2 linked regions of the Coturnix japonica genome follow. The protein of the gene in region 2 binds, or shares a complex with, the protein of the main gene of each other region. Links are inferred from orthologs where the notes say so. Each region holds a gene or a part of one and is shown on either strand. Other genes may lie near its edges. The genes, in order: GTF2H3 and GTF2B.

Evidence for each region.
Region 1: GTF2B (region 2) and GTF2H3 share a complex: the UniProt entries of both Homo sapiens proteins name them as parts of the TFIID-containing RNA polymerase II pre-initiation complex. The link is inferred for Coturnix japonica from reciprocal best matches to the Homo sapiens genes GTF2B and GTF2H3.

Annotation. Positions count from the first base shown.
Region 1 is NC_029530.1:4,196,977-4,212,720, forward strand, and holds GTF2H3 (general transcription factor IIH subunit 3), read right to left. Parts: upstream 9,208-15,744; coding exon 9,111-9,207; intron 8,970-9,110; coding exon 8,890-8,969; intron 8,526-8,889; coding exon 8,419-8,525; intron 8,105-8,418; coding exon 7,941-8,104; intron 7,701-7,940; coding exon 7,638-7,700; intron 7,403-7,637; coding exon 7,373-7,402; intron 7,061-7,372; coding exon 7,032-7,060; intron 6,948-7,031; coding exon 6,873-6,947; intron 6,432-6,872; coding exon 6,378-6,431; intron 6,075-6,377; coding exon 6,006-6,074; intron 5,901-6,005; coding exon 5,765-5,900; intron 5,685-5,764; coding exon 5,648-5,684; intron 5,568-5,647; coding exon 5,498-5,567; 3' UTR 4,538-5,497; downstream 1-4,537. Other genes in the region: TCTN2 (tectonic-2), read right to left, coding at 228-356, 1,009-1,074, 1,717-1,852, 2,093-2,231, 2,461-2,657, 2,895-2,995, 3,222-3,417, 3,715-3,788 and 2 more; EIF2B1 (translation initiation factor eIF-2B subunit alpha), read left to right, coding at 9,179-9,218, 9,291-9,392, 9,476-9,612, 9,681-9,797, 10,296-10,408, 10,598-10,666, 11,255-11,330, 11,474-11,599 and 1 more; ATP-dependent RNA helicase DDX55, read right to left, coding at 12,763-12,912, 13,381-13,673, 13,936-14,104, 14,276-14,390, 14,890-14,982, 15,110-15,241, 15,593-15,675. UniProt on the Homo sapiens protein: Component of the general transcription and DNA repair factor IIH (TFIIH) core complex, which is involved in general and transcription-coupled nucleotide excision repair (NER) of damaged DNA and, when complexed to CAK, in RNA transcription by RNA polymerase II.
Region 2 is NC_029523.1:13,177,002-13,192,821, reverse strand, and holds the start of GTF2B (transcription initiation factor IIB), read right to left. Parts: upstream 10,417-15,820; 5' UTR 10,305-10,416; coding exon 10,288-10,304; intron 8,552-10,287; coding exon 8,445-8,551; intron 993-8,444; coding exon 859-992; intron 1-858. Other genes in the region: KYAT3 (kynurenine--oxoglutarate transaminase 3), read right to left, coding at 11,956-12,018, 13,441-13,527, 13,918-13,991, 14,458-14,644, 14,960-15,049. UniProt on the Homo sapiens protein: General transcription factor that plays a role in transcription initiation by RNA polymerase II (Pol II). Involved in the pre-initiation complex (PIC) formation and Pol II recruitment at promoter DNA.

The sequences.
Region 1 (15,744 bases), on a different chromosome or scaffold from region 2:
TAAATTAGCAGGAAGTATGCTGCTTATTTAGGATACAAATTTCTGTCCTACATGAGCACCAGAAGATTCAGGATAATAGCAATTGGCAGAAATTTGCCCCATACATTTTCTTTCCAGAGTCCAAAACTCTTTTTGATCAATATTACTAATTAAGATAAACTATCAAATAATTTACTCACTTAAGAAATAAAAAAAATAGTAAATCTGTACAAGAAAAGTCACAATACCTCCACCATATAGATTTCCTTGGAAGACTGTGACATTCACTCCCTCTATGTTGTCACCTTCACACACGAATGTATAATGCTCTGCAAAGGTTATACTTTGCAATGGAATGCCCACGGTAGGAGGAAATTCTGCAGAAGAAAGAAAAACATACCATAACCAAAAGTACTGCCAATTAGAAAGCTGTAACTGAAAAACAACTTAAAAATCTCTAACAAAATTCTGGAAGATAAATCATTCATCCTTTTAACATTTTTTTTTTACTGTTTAAGTCCCATCATACAAGGACAGTGTGCTGCATTTACAGTAGAATCCCTTCGTTTATCAATATTCTAACACCTGCAGTTCTAGCTCCTGTTGTAGTTGACCCCTTCCTTAAGAACCCAGCACAAGGCCTTACTCCATCAGCTGCTGGGGCCCTCTGGACTCAGGAGTCCCTCTCTTTTTATCTCACCCTGCTGAGAGGGCCATCATCTTCCAGAAATACATGCTAGTATGGATTCAGCACTATCCTGCATTACCCTCCCCACTGACTGGGAGCCACTGTTCTAAAATAAAAGCTGCTTCATTGGCTCCAGAACCTTAAAAAGGCACAAGAGTGTTCAAAATTCAGGCACATCCAGCACTGCTTACAGGCTGCCTGCCCTGCCTGCTTTGTTCAAATATTAGAATACACACAAGATCCTTCCTAGGAATCACGACAGGTAAATGTTTTAGGCACCCCAGTCACTTGTGTCATCCAGGTTAAGAAAGAAACACACTAATTACACAGCAGAAACATACCACTTTTAGTGATGAATTTGTCCCTGTCAGTGACGGTTTTGTAGGTCACATTTTGTTGGATGAAGTCTGAGAATAAAAAACAAATGCTGCAGTAATCCTGATAAAAGAATCATATACAACATTCACATCCAAAGTACTCCTTTTTGTTATAGAAACTGTGCAGAAAAGTATTTAGAAAGCCAGTTTTGGTAATAAACCAGGCAGGTTATGTGTTAGAGCATAGCTAATTATCTCTGCTTCTTACTAAGGTAGTGTAAATAAAATTAGACAACGTAATTAAACAGCATAAAATAAATTCTCTTCATGTTGGTAATTGCATCATCTCAAACTCCAGAATGACATTTCTTATATTTATGCTTTTGTAATGCAGAGAGTAAGCACTTCTAATTCTAAAGTGACAACACTGCACCCTCTTGACAGAAAAAGGAGGTTCCAAGAATACAAAAACATGATGAGAGATGCTTCCTTGTGCCACATGCAGCCATATGAGTCACCAGAAACAGATAAATGGGAAACAAAGGCTAATCCCACTATTTCTCCTATCCCAAGTCCTGGGTAATACAGAGAAGCTTGGCAGGTGATCAGAAATAGGACTATAACATCCCTAAACACTGAACTATAGCCATGTAGCTGCCACGTCAACAGTCCTCTCGTTAATTCTACTTCTGAAGAACATAACTACATTTCTGTTAGGACTATGCGACATACCTCCTGTTCCACTGTTGATTTTCACATCATGGGACAGTCCTTCCTTGTAAGATGCTGCATCAGAAAGGCACCTCACGTCAAAGTCCTGCAGAAACGCTACAGGGGCATTTCCAGCACACTGCCCTGCCAGGGACGGCTGCAGGTAGTTGAACAGAAACGTATGTGAGCCTTAAAGGCAAGGAAGGGGAGGGGTGGGCAGGGGATGAGGAAAGATAATTATTGTTATTAACAATGATTTTGTGCTTGGTGAAAAATATATTCCACCAGTTCATAAGAGCAAGTTACAGAATCTGGTTACAAACACAAAAGAATGTGATAAATGGAGAACTTCAACTAGCCAAGAGGAATCAGAAGCTCCTAAATATGGAGCAATTACCTGAGGGATGGTAAAATACTCGTCATCTTCTGTCATAATTGGATCTCCTGCTCTGTAACCAGTGAACACTTTCCCAGGAGAAGCCTGTACAGGGATCCTAAATGGACGAACTCTGGGTGCAGAACTTCTGGGTGCAGAACTGCAAATAAGTTCAAAAATGAAACAATTCTTTACTCCTCACATTACATGGTGAATTAAATATCTGCCTTCCAGTCCCGTGCTCTCAAAGTACCAATTATATTTCTCCATTTACATTTAAAGTGATCGATTTATAATTTCAAAATAACTTTCACTGTAAAAAATACATGCTACAGTTTCAATGTAATGTCTAAATTGTGTATTGAGGAAAGAAATATTTTCAGACTTACACAGAGCCATCATAAAAATAGCCAAGAAATGGTGTATTGCTAAGAGAAGACTGTATGCAAAGGAAGGGAAACCAATCAGGAGTATATTCTGTTGTCTGTGTGGAGCACAGCTGATCAAAAGGTGGGTTTACATCCCCACCAAACACTCCAGTGAAACACGATCCATTGAATAACTGCTTCAAGTCTGGTGTACACTCCTGGAAGGGAAAAGAACACCTTAATGCCATAATTGCACCACCACGGCCTCTAGTGCTGTATTTGCAGATAACCAAGCCAGCCCTGTAGACAGATGTCATATTTACTATTAGAAATACCACAAAACCCAGGCAGACCCTATTTCTACTTTGAAATACTCAGTAATTCTCCCTCCAGACAACAGAAGGAACATAGAAATTCTAAAACCATTTCATCAAAGTTTAATATGAAATAAGTACCGGATCACAGCAACAACGAACATCACAAGCTCCATCTGTCAAGTCACAAGGACATGAGCCCAAGGGCTGAAACACCTGGTTAGGGATGACAGACATGATTTCTGTAAGAGAATTACAAGAAAAGAAGAGAAAATTCAGGTCATACAGACTGGAATCCCAAGAAGCAGACAACATGCATTACAGCCAATCCCACCTGCATATAAATCCTTAAATGCTAGAGAAATTTAATCTCTCATTGCTGTCCAATTCCCAATTTTACTTTTCTTTTTTCTGGTACAGAAAGGGGAAGTAAATACCATTTCTTCCTCAGGATATCCAAGTACTTACCTGACACATTTCCCATAAAGGAAGAGTTGGCATATATTTCAGCTTGAATTATGAGACGTGCCAGCATCGCCGAACCACTGCAAGCTAAAACCTGAACTGTTTCCACCACACAGAGAGGTGCTGTGCAGCAGTCGGTGGCATTGGGCAAACATAACTGGAGATTTCTAGTGAAGGTTACAGTCACTTTGGATGAACCCTGCAAAACACAAAATGATGGATTCAACAGCTTGTACCAAATTACTGTTCTTTGTATCATCACCTGCCGGGAAGCACAGGCAGTTCGGGAAAGGAGAAAGACAAGAAACCAGCATCAAAGCTGCACCTTAGCAACTTCCAACATGGGCATCCAGATGATGGGACATAACAAAGGCAAAAAGGGAAGGCACTCTAACTGAGCTGTCAGTAAACTAATATTACATTAGCACTTCATCAGCCTTTAATATATGATTGCTCAAGCTTTTCTATCTTAGGGCAGAAGCAGTGTTTTACATACCACACCAGCTGTTACACTCAATTCCCAGTCACCAGCTCTTTCATTTCCACCGCAGTTTGGAAGGAGCAAATTTCCTGTATCAAAATTAAAACATAACAAACACATATATATATTATTAATATATATTATATATATATATGTATGTTATCTGTTTCACTGTCACTTCAAACTTCTCATGTGGGAATGGGGCACCAGAGGGACCCTCCCAACTCCAACAGTTCTGTGATGATTCTTTGAACTGCACTGCAGTTATTTGGGTAATTGTAATGACAACAACAACAAAAAAAAGTTAAGAATTCAAATATATTTATTATTTTTCGAAATAGCGGGTAGATAAATAAAGTGTTCTTACCTGTCTCTTTATCGATAGCATCTAAAATAATGGAAAACGTAACTCCTGAAGAATCTCCAAGAAAAAACGAATTGACTCTTAGCCCAGACATGTGGATAAAGGAAGGCTGAAAAACTGGGGGGGAAGAGAAAGTTTAGAAAAGAATCACATTGTAACACAGAAACCCTCAAAGCGCCGCATCTGGGAGGCACACCAGGCCGAGCCCCCTCAGCCCGCACAGGCTGCTGCGGCCCTCTCCCCTCTCATCCCTTCCTTCCCCTTCTCTTCTCCTCCCCTCGCCCCCTCCCACACACCGGGCTGCCCCGCACACAGAGCCGCCAGCAGCAGCGCCCCGAGCCCGGCGGCCGCCATAGCGTCACTGAGCGCCGCCATCTTGAGGCGGCACTGCTGCCACGGCAACCAGGAGGGCGGGAATCACCCGCCGTGCCACAGACCGCCTCACAAACACCAACAGGCCGAACAGCATCCATGTCTGTAAAAAGAACTGCTTTTATTCCAAAAGGTGTTGTAAGAACAGAATTATAGATACAACTTGCAAACAAAGTGGCTCCTGGCGACGAGAACGGGAGCTGATGACAACAACCGCCCTGACCGAAGCCAGATGCACGCCTGGACATGGCACACATAGCTGCTACTCAAATACAAAACACACTGATCTGAAACCTTTCCAGTTTCAAAGCACAGCACTGAAGACTGACCACCTCATGGACATTTACTGATGTCATTTTACAGACATAAACCCCTTCTCACACATAAATGTGGTCTTCTGGTCAAAATTCCCCTGGGAAGGATACCTCCATATTACTGCTCCAGTTACTGAGGAGCAGCTATCCAAGAGAGCCAAAAAGCATAAAGAGAATAAAAACATATGACACAGTGCGTGTGCACGTGCCAAGGAATGAACACCCTCGACAGGAAGGTGTGTTCTAAGCAATCTTTAAACATTTGGCTTTCTTCTTCCGAAGCTGACCCCATTTCAGTGCCCAGACAGACACTGAAAGCTCACAGAACACTGAGGTCCTTCAATAGCGGTGCTGAGGTTCAGTCCCTACACATCAGCAGTGGTGACAGCTCACCTCTGCACCAACATGTGATTAAAAACAACCAAAACTTTATTGTCTTGGAAAATAACTTGGAAGTTTGAAGTTGCAGCAGCAAGAATGCTTCCAAATTTGCAAGACCTGCATCTTAACAACCTGTAACTTCTGGTTCTAATTACAATGAATAAACAGTATTTAAGACAGCACAGATTACCTGCTAACACAGTGATTTGTTACTACATAGAAAAAATGGCTTAAATACTTTAAGAAAAAAAGCAGTAAGACTGCATACAGTTCTCTTTCATATCCTGTAAAAAGTGTCAACAATTGTTCAAGTACATCCCCCTTCATGGAATAACAGGAGCAGTAACGGTGTGTTTAAGTTGCATCGTTAGACAGCTAACTTTAATTTCTTCTTCTTAGCTTTCATGACAGGCGGCAGTGATATTTTGAAGGCAGTCCTGAAATGACATAAAAAGGAACTGTCAGATACAACAAATGCATTCTCAGACCCACTCCTGAAATAAGAAGGAAAACTTACTCGCATGTACTGCAAATTGGACTGAAGTTGCAGAATACTGGAAAATAAAAGGATTGGCTGTCACTAATAATAGCTCATTTGACATGTAGGAAGTTCAACTCGTATTTATAAACTTACTTGACAAGCACACCGAGCATACATAACCAATCTCAATGAGATTTCGATGACAGAAACACGCTGCTCTGTAGTCAACATGAACGGGAGGTGGAAGCACAAGCTGTGATCTTTGCTCTTGATCAGGGAGAAATACCCACTATATAAACAGGGAAAAAAATAGTGTGGAAATGGCTGTATCATCGTGTCAGTGAAGTCAGTAAGATTTCACATCTGACACAGGAAAAAGCAAGTGAAGACATACCAACAAATACTGCAGGAGGGATGGCAGGTGGGGCACTTTAAGGTATATGCCGCCTGTAATGTCACAAGCCTGGAATGCAGAGAGAATGATCAGATAGCTCAGTCTTAACAGGAAGGCAATGGTTTCTACTAGCCAAGGAAGAAGAACAAAGCAATAATAATTTGTTACAGAATAGGAGGGTACAAAAAGACTGAGAAAAAGAGACAGTGTTTCACCAACATAAAATACCTAGGCCTTGTCTCATAGAAGGGTGTAATAATGTCTCTTTTTCTGGTTTGAAAAAGTTGAGAGTGCTTTAAAACACATCAAACTATCTAGCATCAAGTATCTATGAATTAAAGCAAACAGCAAGTAAGAATAGGAAGCTTGTACCTGTTGTAGAAGGCCTGAATCAGAGTCCAAGACACAAGCATCAATCAAAATACTCTGCAAGTAAAGAGACCCACAAAAAAAGGAGTTCAGCTAGGAACAATGTAACCTCATCCATGTTTTACAGCTGCAGGACCACCACAGCAATAAGAAAGCTCATTCCCTTTGTCAGAACAAACATCCAGAATTCTAACACCTCCCTTCTAATGTATGGCAATAAAAGAACTATCAGCAAAGGTATCCTGTACACAGCACCTGCAAGGCGGGACAGAAGGCTACCATCCGTTCTTTCACAGCAATCTCTTATTAGTCCAGCAAACCCTTCACGTTAAGATGTAGCAGTAGGATCTGACTTTTAACCTCGGTTACCTTTCACTCTTGGCATGACAGTCTTCACTCCAGGGATTCTTTAACCAGATCACAGCCATAATGTAAATGAACCATTTTTTTTCACTCTTTATATGCTAATAAAAGATAAGATATATCAAATAGCTTCACCTGTTTCTGTGCTGCAAAGATCACGTTCATGAAATTCATATATTGTAATGCACTGTCTTCTGCAGCTTTTATGACCTAAATAAAACAATAGAGACTTGTTAGCCCATATAGCATTGATGTATTTTAAGGCTAATAGTAGACTAACAACAAAGCTCTTACCAAAATCCTTGATTTCATTTCCTGATTGGCTGATTAGCAAAAAGAAAATAAAAGCACATGAGTACATCCATTCCCTATAGTTGTCCCTACAGTTCTACGATACCTGACATTTTAACTAAGGTAAATCCAATCAATCTAACATCCAAAATGACAGATCTAATGTCTCAGACAATGTGAATGTAAATACTGATAGTCCCAGTGGTATAGAAATACATGTAGAATTATCTGTAGAATAATTCAGACGTTACGAAAGCGGGCCTATGTCATTTATTGCCCCAAAGCAATTAGGTATATTAGGTATATAGGTTCAAATACTCGTGAAAGCACTCTAAAGGCATTACCTTTCACCTCTTTGCTCATCTTGTTAATATCTACATCAGACAACATCAAGGAATCCACACTCTGTTCATGGAAGCACCAGCAGCACCCATGCTATGTACTCACTACCTCAAACAACACACGTTGTTTGATCCACAATTATAAGGCAAATGTTTCAGTTTTGAAAATTATTATAGAATGCACTGATAGTCAAGACTGTATTGAAGGATAATTAGTATGACAAGAAACAGACAAAAGCCTTTAAAAGTTCTGCCATCAAAAGGATACAACAAAGTGCTTTGGCAAGAGACCCTGCTAGGAGAGTCTCTGTTTGCTGGCCCATCATGTCAGCTGCAAAGCAAATTACACAGATTACTCTGATACACAAAATCATTCACTCAGCCTGATCTCACTGAGTGCTACAGTTCAATCTTCGCCATGTTGAATCACTGCAGAGTCACCCAATATCAGCCATAAAAACTCACCTACTCTAAACATATTAAAATCCAAATGAACCAAAGAAATTCCTGCAACTCCCAGAGAACATTTTGCAGTTCTGTGTTATGAAACCCAGAATTTTTATTCCCTTACTTTTCGTCATGAGGTCTTTAATCTCTTCTGCAATTGCATCATTGATTGCAGTTAACAATTCATATTTTCCATCCTTGCTGCCAGAACAATTGGATTCCACGGAGTTACCACCATCTCCAAGGAGATCCGCAGAAGCCCAACGCTTCCCAGGGTACAAGAAACGGCTAAAAGAGAGGAAGAACAAAGTGTTACGGTTTGCTTTTCAGCCTGTAAGGAAGAAATGACATCAGCTGACCACTCATAGACAGCGATATTTTGAAGTAAAACTCCAAATAACTTTAATACTTCAGGCATTAAATAGGGTTCATAAGGCAGGAAATTGTTGTGACACAAATGGTTCACCTCCCTCCTTTCAATACGTTGATGCATTGACTCTGTCTTGCTTTCCATAAGGCATTAAAACAGACCATTTCTTTCTCTACCAGGAGGCAGGGAGTGGACAACACGTCACACTCATGGTGGTGAGCGGCTGCCGTACCTTTCCTGCGTGTGACTGGCCATCACGGCCAGTTTGTTGGTGCGGCTCATGAACAGGTGGGAGTTCCCCAGCACCATCGCTGCGTCCACACATTTCGACAGGGTGAACTGCCAAGGGAAAGAATAATTCAGCAGGACAGCACCTACAGGAACCAACCGCAGAACTGCACTCAGAACTAGAAGGTGCAGGGCTTCCTTTCTAACGGGAGGCATCAGCTGAGCAAAGCTCTGACAAATGCATAACTGTAGAACCAGAGAATCATTTGGAAGGGACCTTTAAAGGTCATGCAGTCCTATTGCCTGCAGTGCTCAGGGACACCCACAGCTCCATCAGTGCTCACAGCCCCATCCCCTGGCTGTGGGTGTCTGCAGGGATGAGGCACCTCCACCTCCCCGTGCACCCTGTGCCGGTTTGATGATACTTTTCACGTTTCCCACCGATGTTTCCTATAAAAGCGGCCCCGGGACGCACCTCAGCCTCCCCCTGCGCCCGCTTCCCCCACCAGATGGGGTTGGTGTCGATGACGATGACCAGCAGGCTCAGCTCCTCGTCTGCAAAACACACAGCGGGTCACTGCAGGGGGCCGGGAGCTGCCGGAGCCGCGGGGGCTGAGCTGAGCTGAGCTGAGCTGAGCTGGACTCGGCCCGGTTCATCCCCCCCCCGTCCCGACCCCCTCGGCCGGCTCCTCTCACCCGCTCCCATCCCGCCGCTGGTGTCGCCCGCTGGTGTCGTCATACCGCACATCATCGCATTGCGCCGCATGGCACCGAGCAGGGCGGGGGCAGCCATGAGCACGGACGGTAATGTGTCTCTATGGAGGGTGTTGTGGGGGCCGGGCTGAGCCGAGTGTGAGGCGGCTCTTTGCCTTTCAGACCTGATCGAGACCTTCAGGGCGCAGCTGAGGGATGACCCCGACGTCGCCTCGGCGGTGGCCGCCATCCGCGCGCTGCTGGGCTTCCTGCGGCAGGACCGAGGTGGGCGCCCATCCCCGGCGGCCGGACACGAAGCGATGTTGGCCCGGCCCCGATTGATCCCCCGCTGTGCCCTGTCTCCATAGGAGAGACCATCCAGGGCCTGCGGAGCAGCCTGCGCGATGCCATCGACACGCTGTCGCGGGTGGACTCGTCCGTGGCCGTCAACTCCGGCGGGGAGCTGTTCCTGCGCTTCATCAGCCTCACGTCGCTCGAGTACTCGGTAAGGAGCGGGCTCCTGCCGGCCCATCTGCTGCAGGGCAGCCGGCAGCAGCGCTGTGTCCTTTCCAGGACTACTCCAAGTGCAAAGAAATCATGATCGAGCGCGGGGAGATCTTCCTCAGGAAGGTTTCTCTGTCCAGGAACAAAATCGCCAAACTGTGTCATCCCTTCATCAGAGACGGAGCTGTAAGTACAACAAGGAGCTGTAAGTACAACAAGGGCTGCTCGTGTCCTGGCTCTGCTGCCTGCGCTGCTGGGAAAGCAGGGGGGTGGTGTTATTATTCCTGCCCATCTCACAGCGTGGCATCCTCTCCTAAAATCTGTAAATACGAGCAACATCATAGAATTATGGAGTCATTTCAGTTGGAAGAGACTCTTATACCTCATGTAGTCCCACTGCCTGCAGTGCTCAGGGACACCCACAGCTCCATCAGTGCTCACAGCCCCACCCCCTGACCATGGCTGTCTGCAGGGATGGGGCACCTCCACCTCTCTGGGCACCCTGTGCCAGTGCTTCACTACCATCATAACTAACTTCTTCCTTGTAACCCATCTAAATTGTCCCTCTTTTAGTTTGAGACCATAACACCAATGGACACTGACAGAAGTAAAAGCCCTGTTCATCCTAACTGAAATGAAGGTTTTAAAGCTCAGTAAGAAGTAACATTTAATCTCTTTTGACAGAGGATATTGACACACGCCTACTCACGAGTGGTCCTCAGGGTGCTAGAAGCAGCTGTTGAGTCAAAGAAGCGATTCAGCGTTTATGTTACTGAATCACAGCCAGACCAAGCAGGGCGAGTATTCATTAACTTGTGCTTCATCTTGGCTAAGAGGATAAACTACAGCCAGCATCAATTCTGTCATAACTTCAAAGCTGCTGGCCTTGTAGGAACATAGATAGTCATGGGTTTCATTCTTTCAGACATTGTTTTTCTATTATCATCTTTAAAGAAAGACTTTTAAGCTTCATTTTTATATAACAGGCAAAAAATGGCAAAAGCCCTGAGGAAACTGAACATTCCTGTGACTGTGATACTGGATGCTGCAGTTGGGTGAGTCTGATCATTAAATCTTAACGTTCATCCCAATTTTAACATTGTTCCATTTAAGTTCCATAGGAGGTTGTTCTAAACACAGGAATTGTTACTTCATTTGTCATAGTCATCAAACAAGCTGAACAAGTGACACTTTAGGTGCATGATTAACCAAATACGCCTGCTGCAGAACTTGTACCTTGATGTTTGCCTATAAGGTCTGACTCCATCAACCTATGCGTGGAGCCTGGGGATATGTGAAGGAGCTGCTGTACTAAAGAAAACTACTTTGATTTTTCTTTCTAAATGTTGTGTTTGTTTTCAATCTAAATGCTAAATTCTAGCATATTTTGCCATGTAATGACTACAGTTGATGGATTTCTCCCATCGCTTACACAGTTGTCAAGGTCAGACATGGCTTGTACCATTCCTGCTGAGCAAGCAGGCGAAAGCTCATTCCAAGGATGTCGAACAACACAGTCTTACTTAACTAACAGCAGCTAAAACTAGTTTAGAAAAGTGAGACTGTTGGAATTCCTTATCTCTGTTCTGTTCAATGAGTCACGTTATTTGCTAAGACTTGGATCTCTTCCCCTTCTTCAACAGCTACATTATGGAGAAAGTGGACTTGGTCTTAGTTGGTGCTGAAGGTGTAGTAGAAAGCGGAGGCATTATTAACAAGGTAAAAGAGAACGCATTGCATCAATCTGGAAACTCTATTCAAATATTCTTGGATATCAATCAGTGAAAGTCTATTATTGGAAACATGGCAATATTAAGTCATGCTAGCATGGAATCTGCACATTATTTTCTGTGTCTCCACAGATTGGCACCAATCAGATTGCTGTGTGTGCCAAAGCTCAGAACAAGCCGTTCTATGTGGTGGCAGAAAGTTTCAAGTTTGTAAGACTCTTCCCTCTAAACCAGCAGGATGTCCCAGATAAGTTTAAGGTAAGAGAAATACAGGTTGCTTCCTGGCAAACTAAGATCCACTTACTTGTTTGTGAGCAATTTTCTTCTAAGCACATCTTCATTTGTTTGGATCTCTCTACTGTAGTTAACTTGACACAGTACAGAGTTGGTCCATGTTCAAGTCAGACCTCCAACATCCACAATTTGTCCTAATACTCTTGTTGAGTTACCAAAGCAATTCCTTTGGGGCACGGGAGTAGCTGCAGGCAAGAAACAGCTACATCGAGACACTTCAGAACTATAAGTTGTATGGTGGATAGAAGGTAAAACACTCGAGACCAAGGTGGCAGCACATGCCTCATTTTAAAGCAGTTGACTTCCCTCCATTTTACCACAGATATCTGCTCAAGATTATAGCACTGCCCCAGCCCAAGAGAGATTTTAGCTCGCAGCTGTGTAATAATTAACGGTCTTGTTTCCTTCTAGTACAAAGCAGACACGCTGAAAACAAGTCAGAATCTAACAGAGGAACATCCCTGGATTGACTACACGTCACCATCACTTATCACGTTACTGTTTACAGACCTTGGTGTGTTAACTCCATCAGCTGTCAGCGACGAACTCATTAAACTGTATCTGTAACTCAATGGACATGGTGTGCAATGTGTACCATCCTCAGTGACTGTCACAGCTGTAAGAGCCTGGGAGGTGACACAAGTGGGGTGGACAAGGTGAGGAGGCAGCATTACAAGGATTCATGTCATTATCAACCTTCAGTTTAAGGCATTACCTGTGGATGAACCACTGTTTAGGAAAAAAAAATGGAAGTTGTTACAGCTTCTGAATTCCTTAAATGAATTATTGGAGAAGAGGGTCAAGTATTTTAGTACTGTAAAATAAAGTAACTTATGGTGCATTCAGCCTCATTCCATAACATGCTGTCATTCACTGATCTGTGAACAAAAAGCCCTGAAATAAATGCACCGAGGGAAAGCTGTAGCTCCAGCCAAATGACACAAGGGCAGTGCCTTTAGCTTTGTTCTCAACTGCAGTTCTTAACTATGCTTATGGAAACCAAGTTTCTTGATGAAGAAATTAAACCCATTCTGTTCTCTGCATCGTTATTTTGTTATAAAAATACAGTTTTATTGGAATAGGGAGTATCTTAATGTGAAAGCCCAGTTAGAATGAAACCTTCAGTCTCAGTCAGCAGCAGCTTCTCTGAATTTACTCTGGCTTCCTGTTAGTCTCTTCTCAAATTCTTCTTCACTAATTTTCCCCTTCTTTAATCTTTTCAAGAGTCTCGTGTCATTCAGCAACTCTTCCATGTCCTCATCTTCCATATCAGAGCCCTGTTAGCCATTGAAATACAACAGATTACACACGACACCAAAGGCTTCATCTCTAGACAGCTGAACACAACAGAATTTTACAACCTAGATTTTGCCAGCAGCATCCAAACAGGAAATTATACTCAAATTCTACCACCAATCTATCAAATTCACTTGTTGAAACACAAAAAAAAGCAACAACAAATAAGAACTATCCAGTGAAGTGCTGCTATATCCCCTACAATCCATGCAGCCTATGAACCTATGCTGGCAGCAATTCACCATCACCTGAGCGATGAGAAATTGTTGCAACATTTGGTTTTAAAAAGCTTTTTTTCCTATGCTTTGCCTGGCAGACGTAGAAGGCTTATTTTCAATAAGTAACCCTGCAGTGTGTCTCACTTCTGTCACACTAAAATCCCGTTGCTCCCTGACTTTTGCAAGTACATTTAGTAACAACACGCAGCTTAAGAGACTGGCATGGTTTACCTCTTCACGCTTCCTTTTAGCTGTTGCTTTCCTCTTCTTCTCCCTTTTGGCTTTCTGCTTTGACCAGGATTTGTTTTTTATGAATTTCTTTTTTCCTCCATTTTCTTCTCTTTCCTTTCTTTGTTGTTCAAGTTGCTTTTGTCTCTGCTTTTCTCTGTTTTTATCTTTAAATGGAATGGAGTCCGTATTAATAGTGACTGGAGTAAAATCTGGAAAACATTTTCCTCTTAGCTCAGGCATTTTCGGCATCTTTAACAAGGCGAAGCCTTTAGCAAGACTAGCAAAGTCCAGGTCTGTTGAGATAAAGATTATAAAGTCAGTTTCCTGCTGGATAAAAAGTGAACTTACAAAATTCCAGGCAAAAAAGATGATCCTGAAATTAGTATTTAATAGCAATGACAATATGAGGTCACATTTACACTTAGGTTTGCTTCAGTCAGACTTTGAGAACAGAAAGGAGCAGCTACAGACAGTAACATCACGGGGGCTTTTTGTCAAACTGAACATTATCTTCTGAAGAACAGTAAAAGATCCCCAGCTCCTGCTGGGAATTACCTTTAATTCGGAAGATCAGATTGCATTCATGTTTGGCGTAAGCCTGGATGTAAGAGACAAATGCTTTCATCCCCTTCTCAAACACTGCCCTGTCAGCGAGAGCCATAGACTTCAGTTTTGGAAGAAGATCTAACACGTTTCTCTGTGGTTTCATTTCCTGCATGGGACACTGAAAACCAACAAAGGAATACAAAAAGAAAGGCAAAGTTCAGCTGAATGATTTGAAACGTGCTCTGAAAATTCAAACACATTTCTTCTCCAGTTAATCTTCAGTAAGTTTTGGTCACCTTCTGGCTCCCCTGCCCTTTGCTGCGTAGGGTTAGAATAAAAGCCTACTGACCTTTTGATTGATTGAGAGAAAGTTAATATAAGATTCTTCCATGGGAAGCAAAAATACAAGTGCACTGCCAACATTTCCAATCCGTGCTGTTCGACCACAGCGATGCACAAAGGCACTGAAATAAAACAGGGATAATTTAAGGAGAGATGCCTGGTCTGACTTTAAAGCATTTGTGAGCAAAAAGGACAAATCTGACAGAATGGAAAACCTGGAGTATTTTCAAACTAAACTCATAATTCAGCTACAGGAAAATGATGACAATACAAGTAAAAATAAGTGGGAAACGCTCCCCTCATGTGAACTCTCAGTGTACCATCCTTAAATAGCTCCACCCCAGCTCTCTGCACTCATTCACACCCCTCAGCTTGTTACCCCCGTACTCTCACACTAACCCTTAGAATAGAAAGCCCCTTTGTGCAAGTGGCAACCACCTCTTTTACTTCTGCACATCAGGCCTACAAAGCCAATCAACTTCACATCACTTACAACTTTCTTGTTTGCAGGTAGCTCAGACTTCCAGACAACTTTGTGCTTTTTCCACAGCTGTGTGTTCCCCATTTATACCTAAACATTACAGTAGCACGAGCACAGGTTGGTGAGATCTGAAGTTGTACCTTGCACTGCTAGGAGGGTCATACTGTAAAACCCAGTGTACTTCTGGGATGTCAATGCCACGCGCCATCACATCAGTGCAAACTAAAATCCCACTAGGAAGAAGAGGAAAAAAAAGCATTTTTTCACTCAATTGTCATTTAAGGAAAGCACCCTGTCAGACACTATTAAATCTCTCTTACTGTTTGTGCTTTTGCCTGGAGTAACCTGCTTGGTTCTTACCCCGGGAGCCTTCGGAACTCAGTAAAAATCTTGTTGCGCTTGTGTTTCATTTTGCCATGAATGCACATAATTTTCACTTCTTTAATTAAGGATTCCAGCGCCTTCCCATAGTATTCCACACAGGCACACGTGCTGTTGTGATGAAGACAGAGAAGTAGAAGATTATACCATATATTTAACCCACCTAAGGCGGCCATGTCAGAACTGTCTGAGCCCTTTCAAGAATAGCAACTTGTCTATTTTCCCTTAAGGTATGCACATCACTTTTATGATTAACACAGCATCTATAATCTTTACTTCTATAGTGTTATAAAGTTCATGTTATCAGAATCCCGACATGAAGCAATGATCTCCTTCTATCCTCTTTCCATAAGACAGCTATTACAGTGAACCACATTTAATAGTTACGTCCTTATCAACACAGGTCAGCTTTGGAATTTAAGTAATAAAACTCCTCATTTTCACAATGAAACACAGAATTACCTGAAAAAGACCAGATGTTTTTCCTGCTTGTGCTGTCGAAGAAAATGCACCAACTGATTGAACTTTTCATCTGCTTTGCATATCTACATAATGCAAAAGAAGAACAATAAGTAAGAAAATGGACTTGATACAAACTGATCTGCCAGCTTCCT
Region 2 (15,820 bases):
CCCTCTAGGAATGCAGGAGATTCACTAAGTTACTGAAAGATAACCCAAACTTCAATCTGTTTTTACAAATAAACTGTATTTCTCTGATAATGATTAAATATTACACATTGCTAGTTTTAATGGCTGAAGACCATCTCCCTGTTTAGCATGAAAATGAAACTGATACTTTCTTAAAAATGAAGTGGAAATGCTGCACTGAAAACGAGCCACTGATTTCATTAAGTTATTGCGAAAGATATCAGATGACAATTGTCAAAATCACACGCCATGAAACATTCAGGAAATCCACAAATATGAATTTGAATCCTGCAGTAGAAAATAAAACAAAGCACAATGAAAGCTTATCTGGGTCACTATTTCATTAAAGGGAAAGCATCTGTGTTATTAATCCTGCTTTTTCTTTCTCACAAACATGTGACATAGCTGTATCACAAAACTTCAAGCCAAACATACACTGAATACTTTCTTCTGGAATACTTACACCATAGAAGGATTCTATACTTAGTGTTTCCACATAATATTCACTGAGAGAGCAGGCACAACACGCATGCAGCTCTCCACGTCTCCAATATTAATCTGATCTAGACATTATTACAAAAAAGCTGGTTCATGTTGCAAATCAAGGAGTGGCAACTAACCCAGCAACACTGCAAACTTTCGTCTTGTCACAAAGTTCAGTCCTTTCCTGCTGTCAGCCAGAAACAGACACATTTTACAGATTACTGAAATGCAAGAGTTCAAGTTTTGACTAAATCTCTTTGTAAATGCATTCTCTGAATAGTTTCCCTATGGACACACAAATACGTAGCAGACACAAAAACGTTCAAGCTTAGTAACATTTAATATTTCATATTTTACCTTTCCAATCATTGTACTCAGGTCACCGTCACTCAACAAAGGATTCTGGGTATCCCCAACTCGAGATGGGTCTTTTGTTGCTTTATCATTGCTGAAAGTTCTCCACTCCGACCCTACATCTATGACACGATCACCTGTGGTTACAGAAAGCAACAGTTTGTATCAACATAACATTTGGAAACAGCTTCTGAAACATGGTTACACAGCCCAGGTCTCAGTTATAAAATGCAGGCTGTTACCAAGTGCCAGCAGGATGTAACTGCAGGTCAACACACCAAAATTATTAGGTTTTTCAATCTAAGTAGAAAGCAATAACAGGAGCTGCGGAGAAAGTTTAAATAAACATACCCAGAAAACAGAATTGTGGCCATCCTTAAAGAATATCACAGGTTATTCAATACACAAAGGAGCTCACAGTTGTCCAGTGAACATTGTCAGTGACAAACAAACAAGTAAGTTACCTTTGACACTTGACAGAAGTACTCCTGAATTAGCTATCAAGCATTATCTCATCAAGCAGTAGCACATCACTTTTGTGAATGAGCTCCAGGCTCAGAAACGAACCTTCTAAACCACCATGACAACATTCTGCAGCTCTGTTTTGTTCCTGACCCTTAAGAAAAAGGCTTTTCTTGGGAGTCCTCTCAAATTCACCTAAATGTTTCCAGCAGCATCTATTCAAACTGAGAAATATCTCTAACCCACATAAATACAGGCAAAAAAAATCTGGAGTAATCACAATGATTCAAATAATGATTGAAAAAAGAGTTCTGCTTGTAGTGCAGCTCATTCTATTCACAGGGCTGGTAAAAGCAGCACCTCAAAGGTGTTGTCTCCAGAGCAATACCACAGAGTTTTTAGGAACATGTAGAGAAAAGCATCAAGAAAAAAAAGCATTACAGTTCTGTGCAGAATATCAGAACCAGTTCAATCGTCACTTCTGCTTTGCTAAACCTGAGGGAAAATTCATTATCTTTATCAAAGTTTAAGTGTTGTGAAGGCAACATTCACCAAAATAAATAGTACTGACAGCAAGAAAGATTGCTGGCACAGAAGTCCAAGTATGAAACAAGAGAGGCAAGTTTAACCTAGTAAAAATGTAAGCAGACAGACAAAAGTACTCCCTAGCAAACAATGATAACATGCAATTTGAATCTCGAAAAAAAAATACAGGAGCAACACACAGAGTGTCACTGCAAAATTACTTGTGGAAAAGAATCTGAATGGGGAACTTCACTCTTAACACACGATGATGCAAGGAATGTGCCTGAAACTGAAAGGTGTAAATGAATCCAAGAAATCAGGCCAACCTAAAAAGAATACATTTAAGACAGAAGTAATCTCACTAGTATTCATCCGACATGCTCATAGCTATGCTCCCCGTTCATTTAATGCTCTAATGAAAACTGAGGTAGCAGAGGTGGAAGTAACAAAAGTTAGAAGACTAAGAACACCACAAAGTAAAAGAGAGCACAGATCTATTCTTCCTGCTAGAGGCTCATGTCTTGTGAGCCTTCATTAGCAGACAGCATGCTCCTCTGGCTCCTGGACTCTCTGTAAATATTTGATTCAGTAATGCACCTTCTATGGTCTAGCAGTGACTTTACTTTAAGACAACCCCCCAGTACTGTTTACAGCATCTAAAAAAAGCAAAATGTACTTAAAATTCTGGCATGGTATAAATAGAACACTGAACACAGGGCAATGATGTAATATTTTTTCCACACAAGTAGGAATGACCTCAATGACTCACTCACGGATCTGCCTCTTGTGAGTTATGAACCATTCCTGCTCTAACAAAAAAGTGTTATATCACTGCCTGCTTTGGCAAACATTACAAACAGAGAATTGAGTCTGCTATTTCAGAGTGAGAAAGGATTAAGTAGAACAAATCTTTGAATATAAAGCATTTGTGGAATTAAGATGCAGTGTGTAAACACCTTCGTGTTGCCAAGAAATCTGCTATTGCAAGAAAACAGCTTTCCTGGATATTCTTTACTTACAGACATTCAAGGAATCACATTCCACCTTGCAAAAGCCTTGCATAGAAGCCTGACACAAGCTAGAAATAACAACAAAACTGGAACAAATAGGCCAAATGTTTCCATAGATGGAAAATATTCAACTACAAGCAGCTAATTATCCTGTCCCACACACAAAAGAAAGCATGACACTAAGTACTCTTTTAACCTTTAAAAACATAAAAACCACTTTGGAACTGTTGCCTTGGTATGTATGTAATAAAGCCCCACATGTAAGTGACAGAAACAAAACCTTAAACACCAAGGTCAGTTTTACAAGAGCAGTGCAACACAACAGCACTCAGAGAATCAGCTTTGAAGACTGGTTGCTAATTTCAAGCTCTGAAACGCATTTCCTGGCTCATACCCTACTGATGTGCTCTCCTAAATCACCAGGAAAATGCACCTGAGTGGCAAACAGCAGAGTAACAAAAGCTCCCAAAAAGTACTATCTAAAACCTTCAGAACAGAAGACCTCAGACCAGTTACTTTTCTAACCTAATTTATCTAAGCAAGTGCTCCAGAAATGTAGGAGTAAACTCAGCTCAGTATAAAAAATTAAAATGCAATTTTCAACAGTTTTTAGTAATTAGCTTAGCACGTCTATTAAACACTAATACTGCATGTTTATTTCACCCCAAAAATAGAAAGCAGTTTATCAAAGGAACACACTCCTACTTGACAAGTTCTGCATTCACAATTACATATTTTCGGAGAAATAATAGCAGCTACTTTAGCAGCACATCCTCTTGAAATACTCATGATACATGAGCCCCTTATTCTCTATTTGCATTTTTATTATCTCTTATATTAAAAATACATATATGTTTATATATATATACACACACACACATATATATACACACACACAGCTGTGAACTGAGGAGGTTTAATCAAAACAAATAGCATGGAATTCAAGCCTCAAATAACATTATCTTTCATATTCAGTCCTGAAGCATTTTCAAGATGATGTGGCTTAAATCATTGTAAGAGGAGCCGTAATGGTAGATGTACACCGAATCAAGCTCTGCATATGAACAACTAATATTATAATCTCAAAATAAACAGCAAAATAATGTTTATTCACAATTTAAAATACCGAACACCCACAGTTTCTAACAATGTTTGGCTCATTCTGACCATTAGTTAATGAATCTGCTGCCATCTAGTGAGCACATACATGGAAACACTTCTTAGAACACCACATTTAAAAACCTAAATAAAATTCTACTTAATTTCAGCCAGCTCCTTATTACAGAAAGTAGTGAGGAGCTAAGACAAATTACAGTGAAAAATCCAGGCAGAAGACTACAAGCCAAGGAGAATTGTGAAGACATAACTGCACAGAACCAGGCTGAGCTGAGCCTTCCTTCAAAACTAAACACTCTCCATTCACTCATATTGAGAATACACCTGCCCATACAACACTTTTGTCACGTTCTGCTGCACTTGCTCCAACAAGGCTGAGCATTCCTTGTACTGAGGAGCCTGGAGTTGGACACAGTACTCCAGGTGTGTACACTCCTCCACAATCAGTTTATTTGCTTACTGTCAATGATTTGGGGCCAATGTGGCCCACTTCTATGAGTAACAGTGTGAAGAGACCCACAGACACATGCCCTGGGAAAGAAGGAAAGAAAAGGGGGAAAAGTAGGAAGATAGGGCTAAAAACTGAACAGCAGCAAAGAACTAAGGGAGAAAACCAATTAAATAAGAATGATATCAGAATGAGAGGTAATATAATACAATATCGCTAGAATGGAAGCTAATAAATCAAATAAAATTAGAGTGTCCAAAAACTGAAGGCCTTACTCTAATGCTGAGGTGAGACAGCTAGGAAGCACACACCACAGAGACGAGCAGTAAAAGAAGGGGACAGTCTTGTGACTTGTGAGCAGTTTTATCTTTCCCTCTAAATGGAAAATGGAAACGGAACAGTGAAAGTCTTCTGGGAGATGTAGTTCTCCTCTTCTGAGAACCAGGTACCTGAGAATATCAACAATCCATGGAACTGGAGCATTAACTCTTTAACTCCCAGTGCACTACGTGATGTTATGATGTGGAACACTGATAACAAAAATCATAAAACCGTGACACTTATTGTATTGCCCAACACAGTTATACTCAACTTCATTTCTGTTTTCAGCAAGCAAAATTACTTTCCTTGAGCTCCACCATATAACATCTCAATAAACCTAGTATATTTAAGTCAACAAAGAATACCTGTTGAGAATAAACAAATTAAACCCAAAATAACTTTACAGTCACAACTTCCTCTACACAGCATCCACAGAGCCTTAGATTAGGCACACGATCTTTTGAATAGTTTCAGATATCAACACCGTACCATCAGCCAACATCCCCCAAATATTCAATACCTCAGAGTGTAGATTCACATACCATTTAGATTAATTGAAGTATGCTTCATATTGGCTCTGAACCATCTTTGGTTCCCAGTCTAGAACCTACATACTCTAAAACCTTCCACATCCTTTAGGAAATATCATGCTAAGAATAGTGATGCAAAGCCTTGCCAAAACTGCCACAGCTTCTGCTCCTGGTGTCTCAGCAAAGACTAAATGGTGACAGTCATGTCATGGCTGCATGACTCAGTACTCACACCAACACTCAGACTAATGGATGGACAACATGACGTTTACCACAGCTTTATGAGATTTGGGAATCAGGCATCCTCAGCAATGCACATCCAAAAGACAAATACAGGCATTTGTTGAACTTTATGCTGTTTCCAGCAGATACGGAACTGAAATGGGTCAGACTTAAGACAGAGACTGTTTGGAATGCTGACTGAAAAAGGCTAATGAATGACTCTTACAACAAATTACCTGTGTAAACTCAGCACCCAGGAACACTCACACCTTCAACCACTCACAGTTTCTGCGAGCATAAGCATATCTTATAATTAGCCTTTCCATGGATGCAAAGAATCTTACTTGCAAGCACAAGAAATATTAGCCAATTAAATAATGCAGCAACTTTGTAACAGCCACATCTCCGACCACAAACTATGGAATGCCTTCCCAAAAACTCTGAGCAGGTTTACAGGAGATGGAACAACCATCTGCATGTCGTTCATAACCTTATCCTGGTCTCCTGTTGTCTCAGTCTTTTTCTGTTGCCTTTCCCCTCCTTTTCAGCTACAAAACTTCTAAATGCAATGTCAGCCATAATACTAATGACATTGATTTCATCACACAGTCCCAGAAAAGATAACTGTTAAACTTTGGAATCAATGTATCAGCTACTTTAACCACCAACATACACAAGGGAAAAAGGGGAAGGGGGGGGGAGGAAAAAAAAAAAAATAAAAAAATAAAAATAAAAAAAATAAAAATAAAAATAAAAATAAAAATAAAAATAAAAATAAAAATAAAAATAAAAAAATCAACAGCTTTTCCTCCAAATATGTTCAAAATCTGCTCAGTTTTAGTACTCTGCCACAGATCATGTGGAAATACACTCAGCTTTGTCACAAATTCTTGGATCTCATTTCAATCATATTGAACAAAATACTGGCCAAATCACACCACTACAAACTTCACAGCAGCAGAACACACCCACACTCAGCATTTACCATTCTGCCACTCTGGGACACAAGCGATGCTCTGCAGACACCAAAACCACTGTATTTTTAAATGGCACTGTGACAGTAATTTGGCTACAGAGTTCACAGCCGTGCAGTTTCTTCTACTATTCTAATGGATCCCCTTGAGTGGTAAAAATCTCATCAAATTTCATCCCACCCCAAAACAAATGATGAGCGGGACTCGCACAGCTGCACCTGTGTAAGCTTAGAGAAATCAGAATGCAAATCTGCGACTTCACTGTGTAGAAAGAAGTGAAATCACCACTGTCTTAAACGGAACATAACTCAATTACTGAAGCATGGCAAAACCAAATGAGAACAATCAGCACAACAGTAAGCATTAGAATATTCTAGCGATAAATCCACGCGACAACCTGCTTAAAGAATAAAAAGCAAAGCACATTTTACCCTAGCAGTAACATTGGCTCTAAAGAAGACTAAGTTCAGTGTAAACACATCTTGAAATTACACTGTGAAAGTCTGAACTAATGTCCAAGGGATTCTGTTCAGAAAGGCTGAGCACTCCAACTAATGAAATCTGCAAAGCTACTGATTCAGAAGAGACCAGAAAGTAAAGCTCTAACAGAAGAGCAGCTTGTGACTATATAAGATTCATGAAAGTGAATCTGATAACTCCCAAGTTCCTAAAGATGAAACACGCAAGCAAAGCTTTCTCCCCCTCCTCTGAGCTGTTAAAAGTCTGGGACTGATCAAGGCTGACCTTCCTAAACTTCAGTTCAACTCCCAGAGCAGTTATGCAAAGAGTTGACACTGACCAAGTTATTTCAAACAGCAGCCGAGGAGCTTGATACTGTACAATAAGAGGAAACATTGCTGTAGCTGTTCACATTTTCAGCCAGCAGATTTGTCACAATTCATTTATCTTTATCAGAAAGTACACACCTTAAATCAGACCTTCTTTGACAAAGCAAGTAACAGTGGGTGCTTTTCAGCCCTTTGTAAGGTTTCATCCTTTTAAACAAATCTGCTACCAGTTTTCTACCAAATTTTGTTTCCAACTGATACCAAAATTTCCAAAATATTTTAGAAAATAACTTTAATAAAGTATGTGGAAGTTTGCTTCCTGCATCAAAAAATGTGCAGTCACCTGGATAAGCCAGCACTGCACCTTTTGCAACCCACTCCACCTTCAGCTTTATGCTAACAGCTGGACAAAATCCAGGTAAAGCCAATGTAAAATCATTACTGCCCATGAGAGAGGGCAATGCTATCCGAAACATTTACTGCTATTTAATTAATCATCTGAACATTCACATTCAAAATAGAGTATTTCCTTTTAGTCACAACACAGCTGAACAAAATGAATAGAAATAAATGAGGTTTCAAGAACGAAAAAGCTTTCTCTCAAAAAGATGCATGAAAAAGAACACACCTCTGGAGAAGAGATCAGCAACATTCAGGAGAAATTTGGTATTTATTTTGGGTAGTATTAAAAGACTTGGGAGAAGTAATTAACAAAAGCAATATTGGAAGGATACAGAGAATCATCCTTCAGGGCAGAAAATAACCTCCAGCCAGTGGGAAACAAGAGTTGTTCTGGCTTTATTTATCATGAAGCTATTTGCCTAAGGGCTTTTATTGCATTTTTTTTTTCTTTACTAACTGACATAACAGTCGTGGTTAAAGGCAGAATACTGGATTAGGCGACATACCATTCTAATTCAATATTACAAAGTATTTCAAGATTTCAAACTCTAAAACATGTTTCTTTATTTTTTCCATAATACACGAAGTTACCAGAAGAAAGGCCACTACAAATAGTAAGCGTTTAGCAAAGAGATCATTATACCATAACACACTTAGGTATCAAGACAAAAAACTAAAGACTCAAACCACATTCCCATTTTGTGGGGGGAAAAAAAGCACAAAAACCCAAACAGATCAACATGCGTAATTTAAGTTACACAGTAATTCACAGCGATATGAAATCCACTTACCTACTACTAGCCCACACTCTGAACAAATCATATCACCAGCTCTGTAATCCTCCACTAAAATGGAATCTGGATGGTTTGGGCAAGTCACTCTTGGAAGAGCATCCAAACTACAAAGAAAGAAAAAAGAATTGTTATTATCTTTATTAAGGAGAGCACATATCTCAAAGTATCAGTTCACTGCTGAAAAGAACGATTTACAGTGATTTGAAGGACTGATTATTAACCAAAAACACCTGAATATCTTAAAATCTAAAACTTTTGCAGCTTATCTCAGAAACATAAAAAGCTCCAATAAGAACATCCAAAACTTAAATACAGACAAGCTAAGTGTAGCCCACCTCGCAGTCTTATCAAACCAATATAATTCATCAGGTCCTCAATTCAGGGAGGGCACACGTTTGTTTGAGAATATATAATTCTGTCACCTTTTCAAGGGTTAGAAAAAAAACATTCCATCCTTAAGTCAGGCTAAAACTAGATCACGTAAATTAAACAATTCATTAGTATAGATCATAATGGAGAAACTACCAACTCAGGAGAGGGATCGGGTAACAAGTGCTTCTGAGAACCAGGAACCTCTTGTACATCACACATCTCCAGCAGCTACAAAAAACCTCCAGTAAAGCCTTGTCATTATTTAACATGTGCATATACCCAACAGCACTAAAGCAGAGCAACGATCAATTGCTTCTCACAGAACACTGTAACAGTAAATAAACTATCTAAACCAGCAGCGACTGTCCAGTAACTCCACTAAAACAATTTTGTTTCAAGGCTGAAGTTACTGACACTTAATGTTTGAGGTTTCATATTCAACAGAGCCATTCAATGGAGCTGAAAAAGCAGCAGGTATGGCAGCCGATCACAGTAAAATAAAACAATGCTAGTACTTCTCAACCTAAATGTGGCAGCACCACAAGCACCTGCTAATCCTTCAAACAGGAAACCAGTCTATTAAAGAGCTGAATTCATCCCAGTCCCCTCCTTTCCCACCAGCCCAGCACTGCAGCTTAATCTACACAGAGCCTCCTCAATCTTCATGTTTTAGATATACCACAAGCGTCAACTGGAAATAAACATCCTATTCTAAACCGATGGCTGCTCAGAAGCACCTGTACGATAAGAATCACCAACAGCCTCCACGACCCCTGCACACAACGCGTCCACGCGCGACCTTCGGATGCGAATCCCGCTGGGTATCAGCCGCTCTCGCTCCCGGCCCTTCCTCCCTCGCCGCCCCGGCGGCTTCACGTGGCAGACACAAGTGTTGACAAAGCGAGGAGGGCGCCCAGCTGACATTTGGCGTTACGCAAAACGCCAGCGACACGCGGAGAGAAAAGAAAGAAGGGGGGGAGGTGGTAAATCAAACGAAGAAGCTCCAAAGCAAGCACTCTGTCGCAGACTTCTCCTTCACAAATGACCACACGACAACCGTTTGTTCTACCCAAGTTTTAATTAAGCGATGTAGGCGCCCGCTCAGCGCTGTGGTAACTGAGCGCCGCGGAGGCGTCGCGGGCCCTGAGCTCACGGCTCTGCCTCACAGCAGCCGGCAGACCGACCGACCGACCGACCGCCACACGGCGCCGCCCGCACGGAGAAGCCCCCGCTGCCTTCCCCCACACAACCAGGCGGCTTAATAACCCCACAAGCCGGGACAGAACAGCGAGCCGAGGCAGGGGCAGCGCCGAGCCGGGGCCGGTTCCTCCCCGGGCGGCAGCGAAGGCCGATGCGGCCATTTTCTCTGCCGGTCCGCAGACGCGGAGAGATGGCGGAAGCCGCGCCGTGCGCTGCGCTGTGGAACTGCTCCTCACGGGCCCCTGCGGACCAGCCGAGCTCCCCTTACCGGCTCGTGGACGCCATGTCGCTCGCTCCTGAGGCAGCGGCTGTGCGCGGTCGGGCGGCAGCTCGGAGCGCCGCCTTATGTAGTGGCCGCGAGGGGCGGAGCCGCCGGCAGCTCGCGACGGGTCGCGCGGAGGGACAGGAGGAGCCTGAGAGCGCGGCACGAGCCGGGGACGGACGGGAGGCAGCAGCGCCTGCAACAGCTGCGCCACATCAGCACTGCAAGTCAAAGCACGCTGCAGTTCTCACATTAGCAATGCCATCAATGCCATTCCAGCCATTCAATGGGATATTCAACTGCATTTGTAAACACAGCAGTACGTTAATAAGTCATCAGAGCTTGTTTGTCAAGTGGTCCTTTGTTTATTTCCCCACTAAAATATCAGATAACAGTCAAATGCAATTGTACGTGTATTACTTGTAATGACCTCTTCAAAATAGCAAATAACCATTTTTGTGGGGCGATCTGGAGAATGACAGTGCAAGGCAGCTGAAAAGACCCAGCTACTGGGCTACTGACAAAGCAGCCTAACAGATCACTTCACAGTCTGATACAGTTCTTTTTGTCCTTGTCCAGAGCCACAAACTGACGGGATTCAGCTGGATTGCAGCTCTCTAACCACAGAATAAGTAAAACAGTTGCAGATCTAGCAATAGAATTTGTTCAGGCTTTCCAGCATAAGGTCTATGGGATGAATAACAAACAAACATGAAAAAACACAATGCATTTAAAAGGTTACCTACCTGGACTGTGTTTGCTAGTGGGAAACCTATCCAGAAATTAAAAGATTGCACAGAGAGGAGGCAGCAATGAAGGAATTCCCCACATTTATCTCATTTGAACCTGTCCTTTATCCACTGAGCTTGGAATAGTCAAATTTGAACTCCATAGTATCACAGAATTAAAGCACAGTATGAGGCCCATCTCCATGTAACCCCTGATCTTAAGTGTATAAAATAAGATTGTTATGAAGTTACCAATGGCTTTTGTGAACACAAAAAGAGATTACAGGATTAATTCACATGATGGAGATCACTCTATAGCAAGTCCTTTTATTTTGCTTTGCAGATTCATGTAGTAAACAAAAAGGTAGAAATAAAAGAAATCCTATTCTAAATGCCACTTACATAATTGTATTGAGAACTGAACACCTTCAGAAGAGCACAAGACCAAACACTGCTTATCCCTTTAGATCTTGCCTGTATAAACACACAATTGATTTAACTCAATCATTTTAGCTAAACTGATGAAATCTGTGCATGGACAGAGTAGACAGGTACATAGTAAAAGGCACTGTGATTATCTTCTCTGAGACATATAGTAATTTTTTTCCACCTCCTAACAAAAAAACTTAAAACACCTACAATTATTTATTTCCCAGTCCAAGAACTCTTTGTGTTTCAATAAGACAAAGACTTGTGAATCCCACAGATTATTTTTTAAAGGAAAAAAGTGAATGATTTTGAAAAGAATGAAAATAACCTCCGAGTTGCATTACAAATATCAGCAAGCCGTTGTTTTAACTCCTCAGCAGGTGGCAGTACAAAGTTATTTACAATGTCGTATTAATCCTGTACTGTATTAAGTAATTTGTTCTTCAGTTTGCAGTAAAAGCCCCAGTGTAAGAATTATGCCAGACAGAAGACTTAACTAAGAGAAAAATAAAATAAATCAAGCTCTCTGCTTCTTCCAGTTCTTCAGGATCACTTCAGCTGCATCCAGAGTGCTGTCTTTCTGCAAAACAAGGAGTATCACTATTATTCCAAGTATGAATTCTTGAAAACAGTAGTAGTCATATTTAATATGATCATCATATTTAATATGATCCCAAATCAATATTTGGCAGTGTCACTTGCAACCTCTTAATATCCCAGCTGCTCACATTGTCATTAGCAGTCACAGCTACAAATCTATGCAATACACAAAAAATCTGATTCCTTGCAAATATTTATTAGATATGTTTGTAACAAAAAAAAAATCACGTTTTTTCTCAGTATTATCAAATTTAATTAAATTGGGTAGTCCTTATGTAAATATTTGGCATTTACACAGTGACGCACTTGGCTGCTCTATACTGGACACTTGTTGGCATAGTTTCCTAATCTTTATGTGTATAGAAGGGGTGTATAAAACTTCATGCAACCGAGCTATACTGTCTACTTAAACATAAACCCTCTGAATATGAGTAACCCACTGGTCAGTTGTATGGCTTGGCTACAACATGATGAATCATACAGGTGGGGTTTACATTGTGATTAGTGCTGTTCATCTGCAAGCTACATTAACTATCAGCAAGTTTCATTCTGGTTGTTACTGGCTCCATTTGTATCACTGTCTTTATACCTCATCCTAAGAGCTATGATAATATAAGCAGAAACTCCCATTCCTCACTGGTCCAAGCTAAGGTACAGATTCTTATACTAAAAGAGTTGTCACATTTCATTATGTTGATTCTGTGACAGAGCAATAGGAAAAACATCCTACAGCACTCAGATGACCAAAGATTATGTATGTACATGTCCCCACACACAGATTCAACAACTGAGTGAAACACAGGGAAGAACGTGTGAAAAAATCAGGTGCTCACAAAATCACAAATGTTATCTAATTCATTATTTCTCTCTTCTCAAAAAAAAAAAACAGATGAGATTCCTTCCCATGTCTTTGCTTTCTTTTATAGCTGCAAGCTCTTTGTATTTTCAGGTGAGCTAAACTTCAAGCCAACTTACTATTCTTGTTGCCGGAAACTGAACAGACATGCAGCATTTCATGTATATCATGCATCATGTAATATCATTACATGGGAATTATTCCTTGTTCTGGTTATAGGATTCACTTTAAGTGATAGCATACCCATCTCATACATTGTCAGTGTCACCACTGGTCAATAATGCTTTTACAAATCAACAAATTATCTTTTAAAAAAGGAAAGATCTAACCACCCAGTTGTCAGCTTTGTCATCCTTATTTCTGGTTTCAAGTCCCTCAGCAAAAAAGACAAAGCAACTTCTTGCTTAATTCTACACCAAACTGATTTTCTGTTTCTAAAATCACCCAATTCAGACTGGGGAGGGGGGGAATTGTAGCAGTTGTATGTTCCACTTTTAATGCCACATTGACTTTTGAGCTTTGAGTCTTCACGGGACACAAATTTACCTTAATGAAGCAAAAACGTATATATTTCTCAAATTGCCTTTTTGTCTCGGGCCCACAGAACGCTGAAAGAGGAATCGCTGAGAGTTTCTGAAGAATTAAACAGAAATATTATTATACATATATATACTGAAAACAGTTCTAAGCATGATTTTCTAAAATTCTTCCAACTTCAAGGGAAATACAATGCTGAATTTTGTTTTGGCTGACTAGGTTTAAATAAATTCACATTACTTTTCTTAAACAAAACATTTCAAAGGTGTTTTTCTACAACCAGTACTTAAGCAGAGAAAGAACAAGTGCTGGAGCTTAACACAAACCTATGAAACACATTACTGGCATGCTTAGCAATATTTAAGCCACATCATTTCCAGAAGATAGCATGAATACTAAACAATGTTTTGAATAAGCATGGTTGCACTGCTTTGGATTTCAGTAGAAAAGCATTTCTAAAACTAGAGTATAACTAGGACATCTCACCTTAGATGATATCATCCATCGGACAAATTTATAATCATAAGGTTGATTCTCATCTGCATCAGAAAGATCCACATCTAAGAGAAAGAAATTGTATGATTTTCCAGACTCCAGTGGGAAGGCATTCACCAACAGCACTACACTTAATACTTCAGAATAAAGACATATACTTTCATTAAAGAAATATAATTCAAATTATACTGAAACAGCTAACAAGTAGAGGAGATTAAGCCAAATGCTTGGCTCTCAAATCTTTTCATCATCATAGACTTTTAAGAAATAGACTATTCTTTTTTAATCCACAACCACCGCCCTACCAAAACTTTGCCAAAGCTTTGCAAAACAAGGACAGTTGTTACAATTGCAAACATTTTCCTTCAAGCTTATAAAATCCACCTCCAGGCTAAAGTCAAATAGAAAATTTAATTCCCAATTAGTATTTCTGACAGTGTTACGTGAACAAGAAAGGAGAAGATGGTTCAAAATAAAAGTAGTATTTTTGTATTTCTATATCCTAATTATCATTATTATTTTTAAACTTACTTAATGTAGAAACATCAACAATCATGAAATATCCTCCTTCTGGAACGATAGGTGTCAGCCCAACTTCTTGAAGTAGCTGAGCCATCCGATCACGCTTGCTTTCCAGCTCTCGAGGCAGTGAGTAGAAATAGCAGTCTGGGTCATCCATGCGTTTATAGTCTACCCAAAGTGCTTGTGCCAAAGCCTCCTGGAAAGACAATGTTCAAAATACTTAAGGATACTCACACACTTCCTAATGAAATCATGAGGATTTTTCTTTGATTCTGTAGTAGGATCTGGCTCTTGTTAAGCAAATCAGCAAATAAGAACTACACAAACTATATCCAATAATGTAATTTGCTAACCCAAAGCACCAACTGCTTGAGAAGTATTAATCACATACAGAAGCTCTAGACATAAGAGTTTAACACATGAATTGAAGCTACGTTTAGTGAAAATATATAAAATATATATAAATACATAATACTAGAAAATAAACTTCTTTGTCTTTATCTATACCTACCTGCAATGGAGTTGGGCAAGTATATAGTGTATTTTGATGAACTACTTGCAAATGCTTAATCAGATTCTGGGGGCCAATAGACCAACCAAGCTACAGAAAAAACACACGCATATATTATACTTACAGCAAGAACATTACTTCAGATTAACAATGAATTAAAGAAAAACTTGAGACATTTTCTAACTTTAAGAATCAGTAGTTTGCTCTGAAAAAGAACTCAGAAAAGAGCAAGTTTTAACTAACTTTATAATGCATTTATGAGATAAGAATAACAGCTTCTCTTAACATGTCTCAAAGAATATGAAGTAAACTTTCAGTTCTTCATGGAATGAGTTAGAAATTAACCAGAGCCTTTACTAGGAATGATATTGCCAATTGTTTTAGGTTCATCTCATAGGCACCCATGTCAAAGGGTGGTTCAATTATAAAGCAAGAGCTCATTACTGGATCAAGCCTACTCTCAAACAGATGCAACTCAATTGTCATGGCTCATTCTGACCACAGGTGATGAAAAAGAAAGCATTTAGCTGTAAAATGGTTCTATATTTTATTTTCCAATATGTATTTTTAAATCAAGCAAAATATTATTATTTCATACCTTAATAGTATTGAAAGAGAAACCATTCCAAAAGGTATTATCTCAATTTGAAAACATAATCACCATCACAATACTGGAAAGTTAAAAGTATGATAGCAACTGAGTCTTCTCCAAGAGTTTTGACTGATTTTGAACAAATCATACTGTGTTTATTTATATATTTTTTCCTTATAAGAATTCATTACTCAAAAGATGAGAACAGACTGAAAACACAAGCGTTCAAGTAGATAGCTGTTCCAAATGAATGGTAGCTTCACTTTTTA